Linked DNA regions of Pelodiscus sinensis. The protein of the gene in region 1 interacts with the protein of each later gene in a biochemical or structural test. Links are inferred from orthologs where the notes say so. Each region holds a gene or a part of one and is shown in the gene's direction. Other genes may lie near its edges.

Evidence for each region.
Region 2: the proteins of EPS15 (region 1) and FCHO1 form a complex in vitro, tested with the Homo sapiens proteins (2 studies listed by BioGRID). The link is inferred for Pelodiscus sinensis from reciprocal best matches to the Homo sapiens genes EPS15 and FCHO1.

What each region holds. Positions count from the first base shown.
Region 1 is NC_134719.1:8,705,505-8,712,987, reverse strand, and holds the start of EPS15 (epidermal growth factor receptor substrate 15), read left to right. Parts: upstream 1-4,437; 5' UTR 4,438-5,475; coding exon 5,476-5,574; intron 5,575-6,087; coding exon 6,088-6,177; intron 6,178-7,483. UniProt on the Homo sapiens protein: Involved in cell growth regulation. May be involved in the regulation of mitogenic signals and control of cell proliferation. Involved in the internalization of ligand-inducible receptors of the receptor tyrosine kinase (RTK) type, in particular EGFR.
Region 2 is NC_134729.1:17,886,719-17,893,718, forward strand, and holds the start of FCHO1 (F-BAR domain only protein 1), read left to right. Parts: upstream 1-3,967; 5' UTR 3,968-4,173; coding exon 4,174-4,286; intron 4,287-4,375; coding exon 4,376-4,446; intron 4,447-6,963; coding exon 6,964-7,000. UniProt on the Homo sapiens protein: Functions in an early step of clathrin-mediated endocytosis. Has both a membrane binding/bending activity and the ability to recruit proteins essential to the formation of functional clathrin-coated pits.

The sequences.
Region 1 (7,483 bases):
TGCAATCACGATTGAGTGTTTTATTTCTAAGCTCATTGATTATGATGATTTTCTTAATGAAGTGAAATGTCGGGAAACTGCTTAGTGTCCTGAATTTCAGAGACAGCTTTTTAGATGAAACCAGAGGAGCATACGTGAATATTGCTACTTTTTTGCCTAATGTGGAAGAATTGCCACAGAGTCCATTCAAAAGATTATAGTCGTCCAAGCTTGCATACCTGTGAAACAGATGCAGAGCAGCAAGTCAAACTACCTGATATTTACTGTGAGAGCTGGGCACATCTCCAGCACACACTCCCTTCTAATTCCTGTCCGAGTCATGTCTTATCAAACTCAACTGGAATATCTCTGGCATGATGTGGTTAGGACAAATATCTCCCATTAGAGAGATGTAACTTGGAAATTTACAAATTAGAAGTGATTTAAAAAAATGAAATCCATGAAGTGATGTCATTCAGGATAGTATCTAAGCAATGTTTCTGAGCTTCTAGTTGAATTTTTTTCTAGTTGAAATAGTATTCGCATTCCAAGTACTATTTTTCTACATTCTAATGATTTAAATCAAATGTATCTGTATCTCTTTAAATCTAAAAAAAATCCTTTTTAATATTACTGAAGATAGCTTTGATAACCATACTCTCAGGACGCTAAACATGAAAACAGTGAGAGCAAATCAGGGAAATGGTCAAAACACCTGAGCCATACACCCGGTAATTCCCTGCAATCTAAATCTAAAACTAATTGAATGGAAAGCTTATTCTGAAATGAGCCTAACATCGGGGAACAAAAAAGTAACCTTGTCAGAATCCATTCAAATGACAGTCACCTGTCTTCACTCCTCAAAAAATGATCTTCCTAGAGGATAGAGTTGAAGATTTAAAAATAGACAATGCTGACTCAATATAACTCTGGGGTTTCCTTGAATAGTGGAAGAACATTGATCCACCAGCTCTTTTCTGAATGGATGCCAAAACTACATGAGGACCCACTGAGTATAAAATGAGGCTGTATTTGACACTACAGTTGCATTAGTTGCACATTGCAGAGAGCTCCTTATAACATACTAGTGGTTTTAAAGAGGGAGAGGGAAAAAAAAGACAACCATAAGCTTGCACAAGTATACCATCCCATTAAATCCCTGAATATTGAGCCCACTACTGTAAGAAATAAAAGTACTGATGATAAACTCAGGCGATATGTAGAGTTCTGGTAAAAACTTCATTCAACTTCAGACTTTCACTAAATCGCAAATTCACAGTAGTTGCTTCCAGCCTGTAAAATCTTGCTGAGTTTGCTAGAGAACAAAAATTACCACTAGAAGTGAAAATATGAACACATGAAGGTGAACCTGTTCCAATATATTTTCCAAATGGCATTTTTATCAAGGCTTTTGTCAGTGAATTCTATAAATGTCTTTAGGCGTGTGTAGTGCTCTGAATACCTCAAATGTTCTGTTAATCCCTTAAACAGGGAGAATTGTCCATTGGTTTTGCAAGACAATATCATCTCACCCTTGGCTTCAAAAGACAATCCAAAAGCCTGTAGATACTTACCAATCTAAGAAAGAACATATTAGAGAAAATTCAATAGTGTGCTTCAAAATGCTTATCTCTAGCATAACTTCTCATTAACCGTTGTCAATTTATTCCCTGGAGAACTACAAATCGTAATATTTTGTGAAAATTACACTTGACTGATCAACTCAACAGATTAAAAAGAACCTGGTTGGGATTAGTAAATGCCCTTTCTGCCTCTGGAATTAATGTTTTAAAGTATTGGCCAAATTAATTTAGGATATTAATTTAATTCCATCACACAGCATTCTTTTCCATTTTCATTATTTTGCTTGATCAGCTTCTGATCAATCTTGGACTTTAAAGAGGGGCTGAAAGCAAAAGTGTCCTCATTTTATTTTTCTCTATCCTTTATATTGCTTGTAATAGCTGTCAAATCCTTCAGAATTTCAGGGCATTACAATCTATGATAAACATAATGAGTTTGTTTTTGTAGACGATTACATGTGAAATGCAGGATTACATTTGATCCTTTACAGAAACAGTGAAGGCCAGTACAGTATACTGTCTGGTGTATCTGTAAATATGATGAAGTTGAGAGCTTGTTTTTTCTTAGTGATCTTCTGATGGATTGAAATCTGGGAAGATGGTGCATACAAATTTTGCCTACGATAACTAAAGCAATCATGCTAAATAAGTTTTTATGTGGCTTTACTTTAAGATTTTCCATTACTAACTTAAGCTGAGTCAGCTTGATAAAATGAAAGACTTTCTTGAAATCCTCCCTGTACTTCTTCTTACTTGGTATAAAAGAGCTAGCTAAAATTGTTGAGCTGTCTAGAGTAGCTCATGAGCATGAGATCTAACCTCAAGGCAGAATGTCAAGAAACAAAGTCCAAACCTCAAACTGATTGTATGTTCTATAATTAAATTTCACCAACCAGATAACAAGTGTGAACGTCTAAAGCACTCTGACAATTTTAACATGAAACCACAGACAATTTCTTTGGTCTCTCTTGTATAGCTTGCCACCCAGGCAAGTTTGCCTTTGTAGCAGATGGTCCGTTTCACCAAAAAAACCACAATAATAGTCATGCTACTCCCAGTACCAGAGGATCTGTCCATTACTCCACATTAGTTTACTCTTAGATCTGTTACCAAAGATAATGTTTGAAGCCAGTCCTGTGATTAAACTAACTACAAAAGATAATAGAAGCTCTTGTAATATGTAAACTCTTCAGGGCTAAGCAACTAAGGGATCCTTTGGTTATGATTGGAAATGTGCCATCTCCAAATTCCAGGCAGTATAATGTTAATTTCTCCTTGACACAGATTTTTATGCATTCCCCCACTGTTCAGGCAATTATAGGATGAGTGCTTTTGTACATATCTGCTTCATGGATGTGGGGAAGCAATCAATGCAGTCTTTTGTTCACTGATGCGCTTTACTATGATTTTATTTGTGTCAATATATGCCGCCTTTTTCCGGGGAGTAGATGAGACCTCTTGTGGCAAACTAATATTTTACGTTTGGTAATGCTTCTTTCGTGACTGAAGTTTTACGGTTTTTAGCAAACATTTTTGTGCTTCAAGAACAAATCCTTAATGTACCCCTTGTTATCTGTATATGTATTTTAGAGAGTGTCTGCCCGTTTGTTCAAGAACTCCTCCTCATAAGAGCTATGACTATGAAATTTGATATGCAGCTTCCTCTTACCCTAACTTAAACCAAGGTCAGGGTTTGATTGTGCTTGGAAAATGGAAAGTTCTGGGAATGGGACTATTTCCCGTAACATGGAAAGGGAGGGGACAGAGAGAGGAAGAACGTGAAAGGGAGGGGCACAGAGAGGAGGGACGTGATACTGAGAGCAGCTACTGGTGGTATCTGCCGCGCCAAGAAAATGGCCAGAAGGGCTTGGATTCTGCCTTCTTGCCTGCCAACACACTGGTAAGGAGCCCCCCACCTCAAACCTGGAGCCTGTCCCCACACTCCATCATGGAGAGACCTCAGGGCATGGGGAGGGCGCTGAAGGTGAGGGCATCCCCACAGCCTGGCTCCTCTACAGGCAGCCTGTAGGCCACAGGGGAATATATGCGGGTGGGGGTTAGATGAAGGGGGAAAGTCCCCCGAGCCTCAACCCCCAACAAACTATAGGCTGGTGGCTGCAGGCTGCCGCAGTGTTGCTGCATGAGAGGGCCTCGCTTCTTCCCGATAGGCTGTGGGGGAGGACAGTTGCGGGGCTTGCTGGCAGGGGAGTGCTGCCACGGCCCCCCGGAAGGAGTTGCCACCAGAGCAGTGCTGCCCTTGCTGCCATGGGTGGCCCTGGTAAGCCCTCCCCATTTCCCAGCTCTGACTCCTACCTGCCTTGACTTTTTAGCATCCCCTCCTCCTATCCTGAGCCCTCCCCATATCTCCCAAACGTCTGCCACTCTGCCTCTCCTCACCCTTGATCTCTCACGCCTGCCTTCATTTTTGAAATATCATTGAAATAATACATTTTCGTTTCTTTTTCCTAAAAAACCTCACCTCTTCCGTTATAGACCAGAGCAAGGCTGAATACATCTTCTAGTAATATTTATAAGGTGAAATACATGCAGACCTCTAGAAACTTTTCATGAAATCTAAACACATTCCTATAATTCTGATGTTATTTTTAACAATACTAACACACAGGTGACCCAGACTTTATTTTATTTTATTTTATTTTATTTTATTTTATTTTATTTAAATATTTTTACCCTGCCTCTCTATTTAAAATATTCAAGGCGACTTATAAAAAACTGTTTAAACACAATACAAATATATATAAAAATTTAAAATATAAGACTCCAGAGGGACATAAAATGTGCTAAAAACATATAGAGAAGAGAAACACACACATACAGACTCAAACATTAATAAAAGCACGAGTAAAAAGGGTGGCTTTAGCCTGACACCGAAACAATGTTAGTGTTAGTGCCATGAGAATATCCCGAGGAAGAGAATTCCACAGTCTGGGAACAAAAGCTGAGAAGGCCCTGTTCTGCACAAATGTTAATCTTATCTCCACAAGTGGGGGAACATGAAGCAAAGCCTCCCCAGCTGACCTCAATCTCTGGGCAGGTTCATATGGGAGAAGACGGTCCTTCAGATACCCCGGACCCAACTCTTTTAAGGCTTTATCGATCGTGACTAAAACCTTAAAGTGTGCCCGGAAACATACTAGAAGCCAGTGCAGCTGCTGAAGCACTGGCATAATGTGCTCTATATAACGAGTATTAGTTAAGATTCGAGCAGTCTTAAGATTCTGGACCAGTTGACGTTTCCGAAGGTTCTTTAGAGGCAGCCCCATATAAAGTGCATTACACTAATCCTGTTGGGATGTAACAAGAGCGTGGATCGCTGTTGCCAATTCATGCTTGTTCAGGAAGGGTCGCAGCTGATGGATCAAACGAAGCTGCCCAAAAGCACTTCTGTTTGTCATTGTTCAGTGAAGCCCCTGGGCCTTGTCATAAGGTGGCATCTTGTCTGCCAGCCTCAAAAAAACAGGTACGATCAAAAGAACATCAGTAATTGTCTTGTCAAAGACCAAAACAAAGGAGATATTAATCTCTCCTTCTTGAATTTTTGTAGCTAGGCCGCTATAATTTCATGTGGTTGGTACTTTACAGACACTCAAAGCTTGCAGTTTATTCTTTTCCATCTGATATTTGGCTATGAACGTTTTGTTCCCTCGGGAGATGAGGTCACATCCAGTCCTAGGTACCGCTCTGTAAATGTGGGAAAATGCAATCTTGTACCTAAGTGCCTTGCCAACATTATCATTGACTTCCTGGATATGCCGTTTCCTTCAGGACAGGAAAAGTTGACATTGCAGACTTTTCCAGGGCATATTAGTAATGAACTCTGAACTACTCCATTAAGCTTAACCTACCTCCTGAGGATTTTGGTATGTACATATAAGTCTGATGCTTTGAAGGCATGGTTACTAAAGGAGTTACTAAAGGAGAAAATCTGCAATTGGGAAGAACTGATTGGAAGAGAATCATGTGGTGGTCTCATCCAGATAAGATCTTTATTGTACATTGATTTATTTGAGTATTGCTCAGATGTATACTTGAAATCCTGTACCTTTTGTTGAAGACCTTAAAACTCAAGTGTAATTAAAGGTTGAAAAATCTTGAATGCTACTCCTGGCAGACCACAGATGTTGCTGGACCAGAGAGTTCTGGATTAGAGAGGTTCAACCTGTATTAAATAGATACATTTCTGTATGTTTATAAATAAAAATTAATGTAAAAATATTTCATTCCCTTGCATTAACTCCTGAGTACAAAGTGTGGATAATATTTTATAGTTAGGTTAAGTTTAAGAAAAATAGTGGATTCATTCTAGCACCCGCTTTAAAATGCATCTGTTCTAATGTAAAATGCATTTATTTTGAAAGGAAGCTGTTAAAATACACCGAAGAGAATTTAGTTGCTTTAGAATTCAAAAGAGAGAGGGGGGGCATTCTTCTCTGGTAGCCTGCTGATTAAGAATGTGTATTTTGTAGCAGTTCTGGGTACTAATCAGTGGTGGTATCTTTCACAGGTTGATTCTAGTAACACTGGAAGAGTGGTGGCTTCTGATGCTGCTGCTTTCTTGAAAAAATCTGGGCTGACAGACTTGATACTTGGAAAGGTATTAATTATTTAATGAGTAACATTATGCCTTCAATTATGCTGTCTATTCCTGTTACAGTTTCCTTTCAGAAATACTATACATGTGTGTACAAAATGCTAGTATACAATATGTAATTTTGCTTTTATATATTGCACCTTTCATACAAAATACTTCAAAATCAGTGAACCTTACAACCTCAGTGGATAAATAATATTGTACTTACTGTGCAAGTTATGCTATGAGGATTAGGGTTTGATTCTATAAATACTGAGTACTTGAGTCAGCATTGAGGTGCTTTGCTCTTCATATTAAGTATATATTTGGCCACATAGCCAATAAGTGACAGAACTCAGATACAGAACTCACAAAGTCTTTATTGTAAATGGTATAAAATACTTATTCTAAGGACATTTATGGTCATCTGGAACTCTACCTAACATTTTATACATGATGATAAAACTATATTATAACCTTTTTTTAGGTAAGTTATGCAGGCACTTGAGTTATAAAATATGACTGTTTCTTTTCCTTTAGCTATAACTGATCAAGTTTCTATAATACATGGAAAAATAAGGACAGAGTAGTGACCGTAATTCCATGATTTCTAAACTGTTGACAGATTTGTATTTATCCTAAATGTTGTCTGGTGGATTGAGTAAATAAAATGAACTGTGAGTTTTTGTTTAAATATTTAATATATAGACTATACATTTTTACAAATCTGTTATATTTATATTTTAAAATATTGAGCTCGGTGGTCTTTCAAAGAATATGGAATAAGGAGGAGGTTAGTTAAACAGAAATGAAAAGGCACAATGACTAGTGCCAAATCCCTGCAAGCTGCATGGAAACTTTTTAATGACCCTATAATAGAGGCCCAACTTAAATGTATACCCCAAATTAAAAAACATAGCAAGAGACCTAAAAAAGAGTCACCGTGGCTTAACCACCATGTAAAAGAAGCAGTGAGGAACAAGAAGGCATATTTTAAGAAGTGGAAGTCCAATCCTAGTGAGATAAATAGAAAGGAACATAAACACTGTCAAATCAAGTGTAAAAATGTAGTAAGAAAAGCAAAAAAGATTTTGAGGAACAGTTAGCCAAAAGCTGAAAAAGAAATAACAAAATGTTTTTAAGTATATTAGAAGCAGGAAGCCTTCTAACAAACCTGTGGGTTCCCTAGACAATCGAGATATAAAAAGAGCAATCAAGGACGATAAAGCCATTGCGGTTAAACTAAATGATTTCTTTGCTTCAGTCTTCACTGCTGAGGACATTAGAGAGATTCCCAAATCTGCACCATCCTTTGTGGGTGATGAATCTG
Region 2 (7,000 bases), on another chromosome or scaffold:
TGGGCCCCAGGCCCGGGGGTGGTGGCAGATCCGCCTCGCAATCATCCCCCCCCCCCCCGTGCCTGAGAAAATGCAGTGTTTGTCATTTGCAAAAGGGGGGGGGGGCGAGCCTGGCCAGGTGTTGGGGAGGCGGGATGGGGGGGGAGCGGGCAGGTGCACCCTTTGCTGGGAAGGCGCTTGGAATGGGTTTTGCAGAGTCCTCCGTGCCCTCCCCCCACCCCTCCTCCCGGACTCACTTCCTGCCCCCGCCGAGCCACCTGCCTGAAATCTCCCAGCCCCACAGGTGGGGGGCGGGCGTCCCTGCTCTCCGGTGAAGGTCACGGGATGGGGAGCCGGAGCCGTGCACCTGCCGTCTGCCCCTGGGGCGCCTTGGGGCTGCAGCGTGCGGGGTTAGGCCATGTGGGGTGAGCGGTCGCCCCTCCACCTGGCTCGGGCAGTGAGGATCCAGCAGGATTTTGCCTGGTGGGGAGTGCGAGGGGCGGGGGAGGGTAACCGTCTTCGCCAGCCCTTGTCTCCGTTGACACCTGAGCAACTGCGCGGCGGCAGCTTGAGGGGCGCGTGGGGGGGCGGGTGCAGCCCCGAACGCGCCCGCTGGCTAAGCGCTCTTCAGAGGCGCCGGTTAGCTGTGCGGGGGCCCTGGCGTCAGCCCCACCCCTGGAAGCCCCCGCCGCACGACACCGCTGACGCGGGGCGCTGGGGGGATGTGGCTTGTGGGCGGCCTCTCAGCACCGTGCCGGGCTGGGCTGTTTGCCAGGGGGCTCGTGGGTGGCTGCATCGCTCCCCATGATGCAGGGCTGGGGTGTGTGGGGGGGGGGAGGGGAGGGGAGGGGGTGCTGCGTTTGCCTTCTTGCATGTTTCATTCCTTGGGGTCGGCTTCTGCTCTGTCCTCTTGGTGCACGGGGACCCTTTGAGAGCCCGCAGTGTGTCTGGAGCCTGGGGCTGGCGCTTCACATGGGCGGGGCTGGCATCGCGCTCCCTGCCCTGCCCTGCTCCTCTCCCATCCTGGCTCGTGCCGGCTCTGGTGCAGGCCCCGGCAGGATTCGAACCTGCCGTCTTCAGCACAGACCAGAGTGAACCGAAGCGGGTAAAAGGCGGCAGCAGTAGTAGAGCGTTATCCTCCCGGCACCGGCCGCTAGAGGGCGACGTTGCTCACTCTGCAGGCCTGGCACCCTTGCTGTAGCCCTAGGCTGGCAGCGTGGTACCCGGTGGCGCCCAGACCCACCACGGCTGCTAACAGAGGGCTAGCTTGCCACCCCTTGCACCCTCCTCCCCTCCGCTGAGTTTCCAGGCCAGTTCTGAAGCCTCAAAGCGCCTCGTGTGGGTCTGTTGCTGGGCTGGGTTGAAAGCTTCGGGGGCCGCTTGCTCCCACCGCACCGGAGGGCAGGCGAGGGGGGACCGGCTCAGCGCCGGGCGCGTTCTCCTATCGCAGCGTCTCCCTGGGCCCGGCTCCAGGCCAGGGCGGACCTGCCCTGCCGGCGCCTGAAGCTGCATGGGCGGGGCAGGGCCCTGCGCCGGTCGGGTTGATGCGCGTTTGCCGGGGGACTAGTTGCCCGGGGAGGTTTGGCAGCTGCTCCGGGAAGGGGGGAGACGCAGGCCTGGTTTCTGCTCCTTGCCTGCGGCTCGGCGGGAGGTGCTGGCAGCGCCGGGCGGCTGACACTGACGTGCGTTGTTTGTTGGTGCGTTGCTCGGCCTCGGCGCATCGCCTGGTTCCTGCCAAGCCTGGGGCCCCGTGGGCCCAGCCCTGCGCCTCTCCCTCCGGCATTCGGCTTCGCCTGGTGGCAGCCTGGCCTGGAGTGACCCCGGGGAGCACGGCGTCTGTTGCTAGCTGGGAGTGCAGAATTCCTTCCCCAGCTCCGCCGCCCCTCCTGGGCTGATCCGGGAGCCGGGGACCTCTCCCGGTGGCAGACGTGTTTGGCTGGGAGGAGGGGGCGCTCCTGTGCCTAGAGCAGGGGCTGAGGGATCGGGGGCGCTGGGGGTCGGGATTCCTGTGCCCTAGAGATCAGAGCATGTGGGGTGGGGGGAAGACTCCTGGATACCGTTCCAGGCCCGGAGCGAGTTCAGCCGTTACTTCACCTTAGCGGGGCCAAACGCAGCCCTGGCAGGAGTCTGGTGGCAGGAGGAGTGAGGCCTCTAGGAGCTGGGTGGCTTGGTGCCTCAGTTTCCCTCGCTGGGTGGTGAGGCCTAGGAAAGCTACAGGAGATCTGCGAGGGGCAGGTGCCTCTGGCCTTGCCTTGGCCGGGGGGGGGGAGTTGCTCCTCGGGCACCCGGGTAGCCAGCAGGGGGTCAGTGCCCTGGGGGGGGTGTGGCAGTTTGCAGTTCTGGCCCCAGGCCAGGGGGGAGTTCAGGAGCCTGGTGACACGGGTGAGAGCCTGGCCAGCTTCCCCGGGCCCAGCCTGCGGGCTTTGGACCCAGTGCCTGCTCGCTGGGTCCCTTTCTCACCCGGCTCCATGGCCCTGAGCGAGCTTGTGGCTTCTCGGTTCCGCTGGGGCCTGGGTGTGGGGTGCCGGGTGGGGGTACCTCTCGGAGCCGGGGGAAGGTGGGCACGAAAGGAGCCAGGGGATGTGTCCCTTCTTGGGTAAAACTCTGGGCCAGGCTGGCAAGCAATGTCTCCATTTGAGCAGGCCCCGGGGGGGGGGAGAGACTGAGGCACCCCCCCCTCGGCTCTGTAAGACAGGATCCCCCTCTCTCTCCCAGGAGCACCCCCTCTGCCGCTGCCCGGAGGCATGGGGTGGGCATCCGGGGCAGAGGGACACTGGGGTGACACACGGGCTCTCGCAAGCCAGCTCCTCCAGACCCAGGTGCCCTGCAAGTTGCTGGACGCCTGCGGTGGGGCCAGGCCTGGGGTGAGCAGCATGCGGGGTGGGGGGCCTGCTGCCGAGAGGGGCAGGGAGGCAGCGGGTGACGGGGGGATGTTCCCAAGCGGAAGGCTGCTCCCTGCCCAGGCTTTTCCTGTTTAAATGCCAGCCCCGGGTGTTCCCTGGCCAGCTCGGGGGCCCTGTCCCAGGCCTGACGGCTCCCCGGGGCCCAGCGGGGCCAGGCTGCGCCCCGTTCCCAGTTTGCTCTGGGCGTTGCCACCCTCGGAGGGTTAATTTTAGCGCTTGGGAAATGGAGCGATTGGCAGGGCGGGTGGGCATTGTCCCAAGCCTCCCTCTGCGGCAGGTCGAACGGAGCCCCCCCCACCTTGCAGGGCTGGGCCCCCCCTCAACGCTGACCCGCAGCCCCCTAGCACCCGCCATGGCTGCAGGGGGGTGGGCTGCATTTGCAGCCCTGCCATGCGGATCCTGGCAGCGGGTGGCACCTGTCTCGGGGCACCCGTGTGGCCAGGGCTGCTGGGGCCTTTGGATTCGTCGGCTCCCTGTCGTGCGGCCCGTGTCTGCTGGCAGGGGTGGCGCCAGCGCTCTGAGGTGCCTGCTGCACCTCTGCAGCATTTGGGGGCTGGGGCCATCCCAGCCTGCCTGCCTGTTACCTGCATGAGGTGCGTTGCTGTGGGTGGTTCTGCAGCTGCCGCGTTCCGTCCCAGAGGTGGCTGCCTTTCACCGCCAAGCAGGGATCATGTTCGGCCTCAGCGCGACCAAGCGGGGGCGGCTGTAGAAATCCGAACCCGTTGGTTGGGGCAGCGCCCTCCAGGTAGGGGTGGGGAGCTGGCGATCCTGGCCACCCCGGAGGGCGGGGGGGGGGGGGCTGCGCGGGAGCCAGGCACCATGGGACGTCAGGAAAGTGGGATGCTGGGGTTATCCCCTCTGCTTGGCTGTTGGATGCCAGCCCCGTGCTGTCATGAGCCCGCAGGGAGGCGGGATTGATCGATTTCCACTCTGCGTCCTTTCTCCCGGAGTGGACTCTGCCCCGCTCCTGTGTGGGTCGCCCTGGCGGGTTAGGCGGGAGGCTGCTGTGGGGAGACAGGACTGGCAGCGCCCCCGGGTGCCTCACGGAGAGCGGATGGGGGGGGGGGGGCAGGCCGGGCGAGAACATGACTAGGCCAGAGACAGCAGGGCCTAATGGGTAGAGCTTTGGTCCTGGGGACTCGAGAGCTCTGAGTTCTATTCCCAGCTCCGCTGGGTGACTCAGGCCAGTCACGGTCCCTTCGTGCCTCAGTTTCCTCTCATCATTCTCCTTTCCAACGTGCCCGGAGCCCCGTGGGCGGGAGGTGGCGTGTGCAGAGCGCCGGTTTGGGAAATGCCCCACGCTGACGGCTGCGCACTTGTGTCAGGCCTGTGCCCGCCAGGGCAGAGGAGGGGCTGTAGCACCAGGCTGGGCCAGCGGCACAGGGAGGGAGCTGGCCCTCACAGGTGCTGGTTCCACTCCCCCCGCCCCCCTCCCTCGGGCCCCTGCAGCGGAAGTAGCACTGTGCCGACTTCTGGTTTCTCTCTCTTGACAGGGCTGGGTCCCCTCGCCAGGAGGACAGAGCTGAGCATGAGCCAGCCGGGACCGGGCGCCCCTCAGTGCTGGGTGAGTCCGGTGGCCCTGGGGCGGGGGGGCTGCCTTGGTTGCAGATGGGGCCGGGGCTAGAACCCAGCGGTGGCTGCTGGTCCCCCAACCCCGGGCCCCGAGAGACTAGAAAAATTGAGCGCGCAAAGATTTCCCAGTTTCCTGTTTTTCACTCTTGCAGGGAGGGGGAGGGGCAGGTCGGGGAGCGGGTGAATGAGTTGGGGGGGGCCGGGGCTGGTCCCCCCCGCCCAGCAGCGGTGCCATGCGGGGAGCCAGAGACTCCAGGAGCAGGTGACGCAGGGTCTGGTTAGAGGCCAGGCAGGTGCGTCCCCCTACCCCGCCGTGAGCGAGAGCACTAGGGGCCGAGGGGCTTCACGAGCCTCCCCTCGTGTGTCCCAGGGACCCCTCTGAGCTGGGGACCGGCGGGGGCAGCCGGGATTCCTGGGGGCTGAGAAGGGAGTGGGCTCCCGCGGGAGCCCATGGGGAGGGAGGGATAACGTCCCAGGCTCCGCTGAGTACTGGGGACCAATGATGACTAAAAGGAGGGGTGCTGGTCACAGGTTCAAAACAAGGGAGCCAGCTGGGGACACCGAGCAGAGAACCCCGGCCAGCGCCCGCTGCTCCTCAACGCTGTGACTGGAGCCAGTGGACGCTGCCCAGAGGAACTCTGCCGGATACGTGCCACGAGGGAGGAACGGAAATAGGCCCCCCAGTCGCAGGGATCCCCTCGTCCAGGATCCCCCTCCTGGTGTTCTAGCCGGCGGTTGGCTACAGCCAGGAGGAGGCCGGCGAGGAGGTCCTGCGCCCTTGTGGGGCCCGGATGGGGTGTGCGTAGATAAAGAGGGGAAGGGAAAAGTGCAGCCAGAACCTTAATAAGAGGTTCTGGAGGAGCCGGACTAGGCGCCGCTACCTGGCGCATTCGAGGTAGGTGTGCGCCAGTGTTTCCCTCACGCCACACAAGGGGCAGGCGTCCAGGATGGGGGTGAACCGCGCCAAGTACACGCCCGTGCTCACGGCCCCATGGAGGAGCAGCCAGCTAGTGTCCCCGATGGGCTGCGGGATTAAGGCAGAATACACACGGGCACATCAGGGTCCCCCATCCTCAACGGGTCTTAGGTAGCCCTGCCCTTGGTATCGGGGCGGGGCACGAGGGGGGGATGCAGAGTACGGAGCACGAGCGTGTGCAGATGTTCTCTAGGCGCGGTTCGAAAGCCAGCCGGCTGGGGGTCCAGGGATGGGGAGGCTGGGGGGGCCCACGGAAGAGGGGCCAATAAGAAGGGACGGAGGGTTTGCGGGAAGGGAGGGGCAGGGCGTCCCCTCACACAGGGCTCTGTAGGAGATCGAGAGTGGGCCGCGGCAAGGGGGGTAGGTGCAGGGGGGTTCGGAGGGTGGAGAGATCCACCCAGTCCCCCCTGTTGTAGTCTAGGAGGTCTCCGACCTTGGTGGTTTCTGCCAGGATCAGCCTCCGGCGCGGCGCGGGAGACTCCGCCACCTGCTCGCACGAGGCTGGGGGAGAGGATGGGGAGCTAGACTCCTTGGTTCTGTTGCCGTTTCCGAGTCGTTCTGCAGCCTTGGGCAGCGCCCGCCTCTGTGCCTCAGTTTCCCCACAGGGAAACGCGCCCGGCGCGTGCGGGGGATGTGGTGAGCAGCTGCCTGCAGGGTGCGCCGACGGGGCGGGAGGAGGTGCCGGAGGAGCACGGCACAGCCTCGTTCATTATTCAGCTGCCTATCCGGTGTCAGCACCTGGTCGCGTTCCTCTCGCCTCTCCTCTGTGCCGGCTCGGGCCAGCCTGAGGGAACCATCCCTGTGTGGGGGGGGCCGGATCCAGGATCCAGAACCCCCTGGGTTTGGGGAAAGCCACCCAGGGGAGTGGGACGGGAGGGTGTTTGGTGCCAGGCCCGGTGTTGTCGGCCCTCGGCGGGTGTGAACAGCCTATGCCGGCACCGCCGCTCTCCTGGCTCCCGCGACTGTGGGATAGAAAGAGCAGCCTGTTTCCATGGTAACAGCCGCATGGATCTGCGAGCTGCTTCGTGTTTTAAAAGAAACGCGAGTCGCTCTGCCCCCCGAAGCACCGCCAGGCCACGAGGGCCTATCCCCGCTAGCCTGCGGGGACCGACGGGCGGCGGGCTGGGCCCCGCTTTGAGGAGGGGAAACTGAGGCACGGGGCTGCCCTGCCTCATGCAGGGAGTCGGTGGCAGAATATGAGAGGGAAACTCCGGTCTCGTGAGAGGCGCTGTGCCTTGAGAGGAAGGCTTCACATAGCAAATCGGCTCCCGGCTTGGGAGTGGGGAAACTGAGGCACCAGAAGCCTGAACAATTCCAGAGAACGGAGGCATCCCAGCTCCCTCCGTGTCCTCCTGGAGTTGGGGTTGGAACCCAGGTGTCCCAGCGCCCCTCTAGCAGCTCAGGAATGTTCCCACCCGGGGGGGGTGATGTGTCCCCTCCCCGAGCGGAGCCCCCCTCCGTCCCACGGTGCCCCCCTGGGGCGTGGCAGGGAGCAGCCTGCCTCGGCCTCACCCCGTGTCTGTGTTTGTCCAGAGGCCGGCCACCTGAGCGGCGGGGGGTGTCGGCCCAG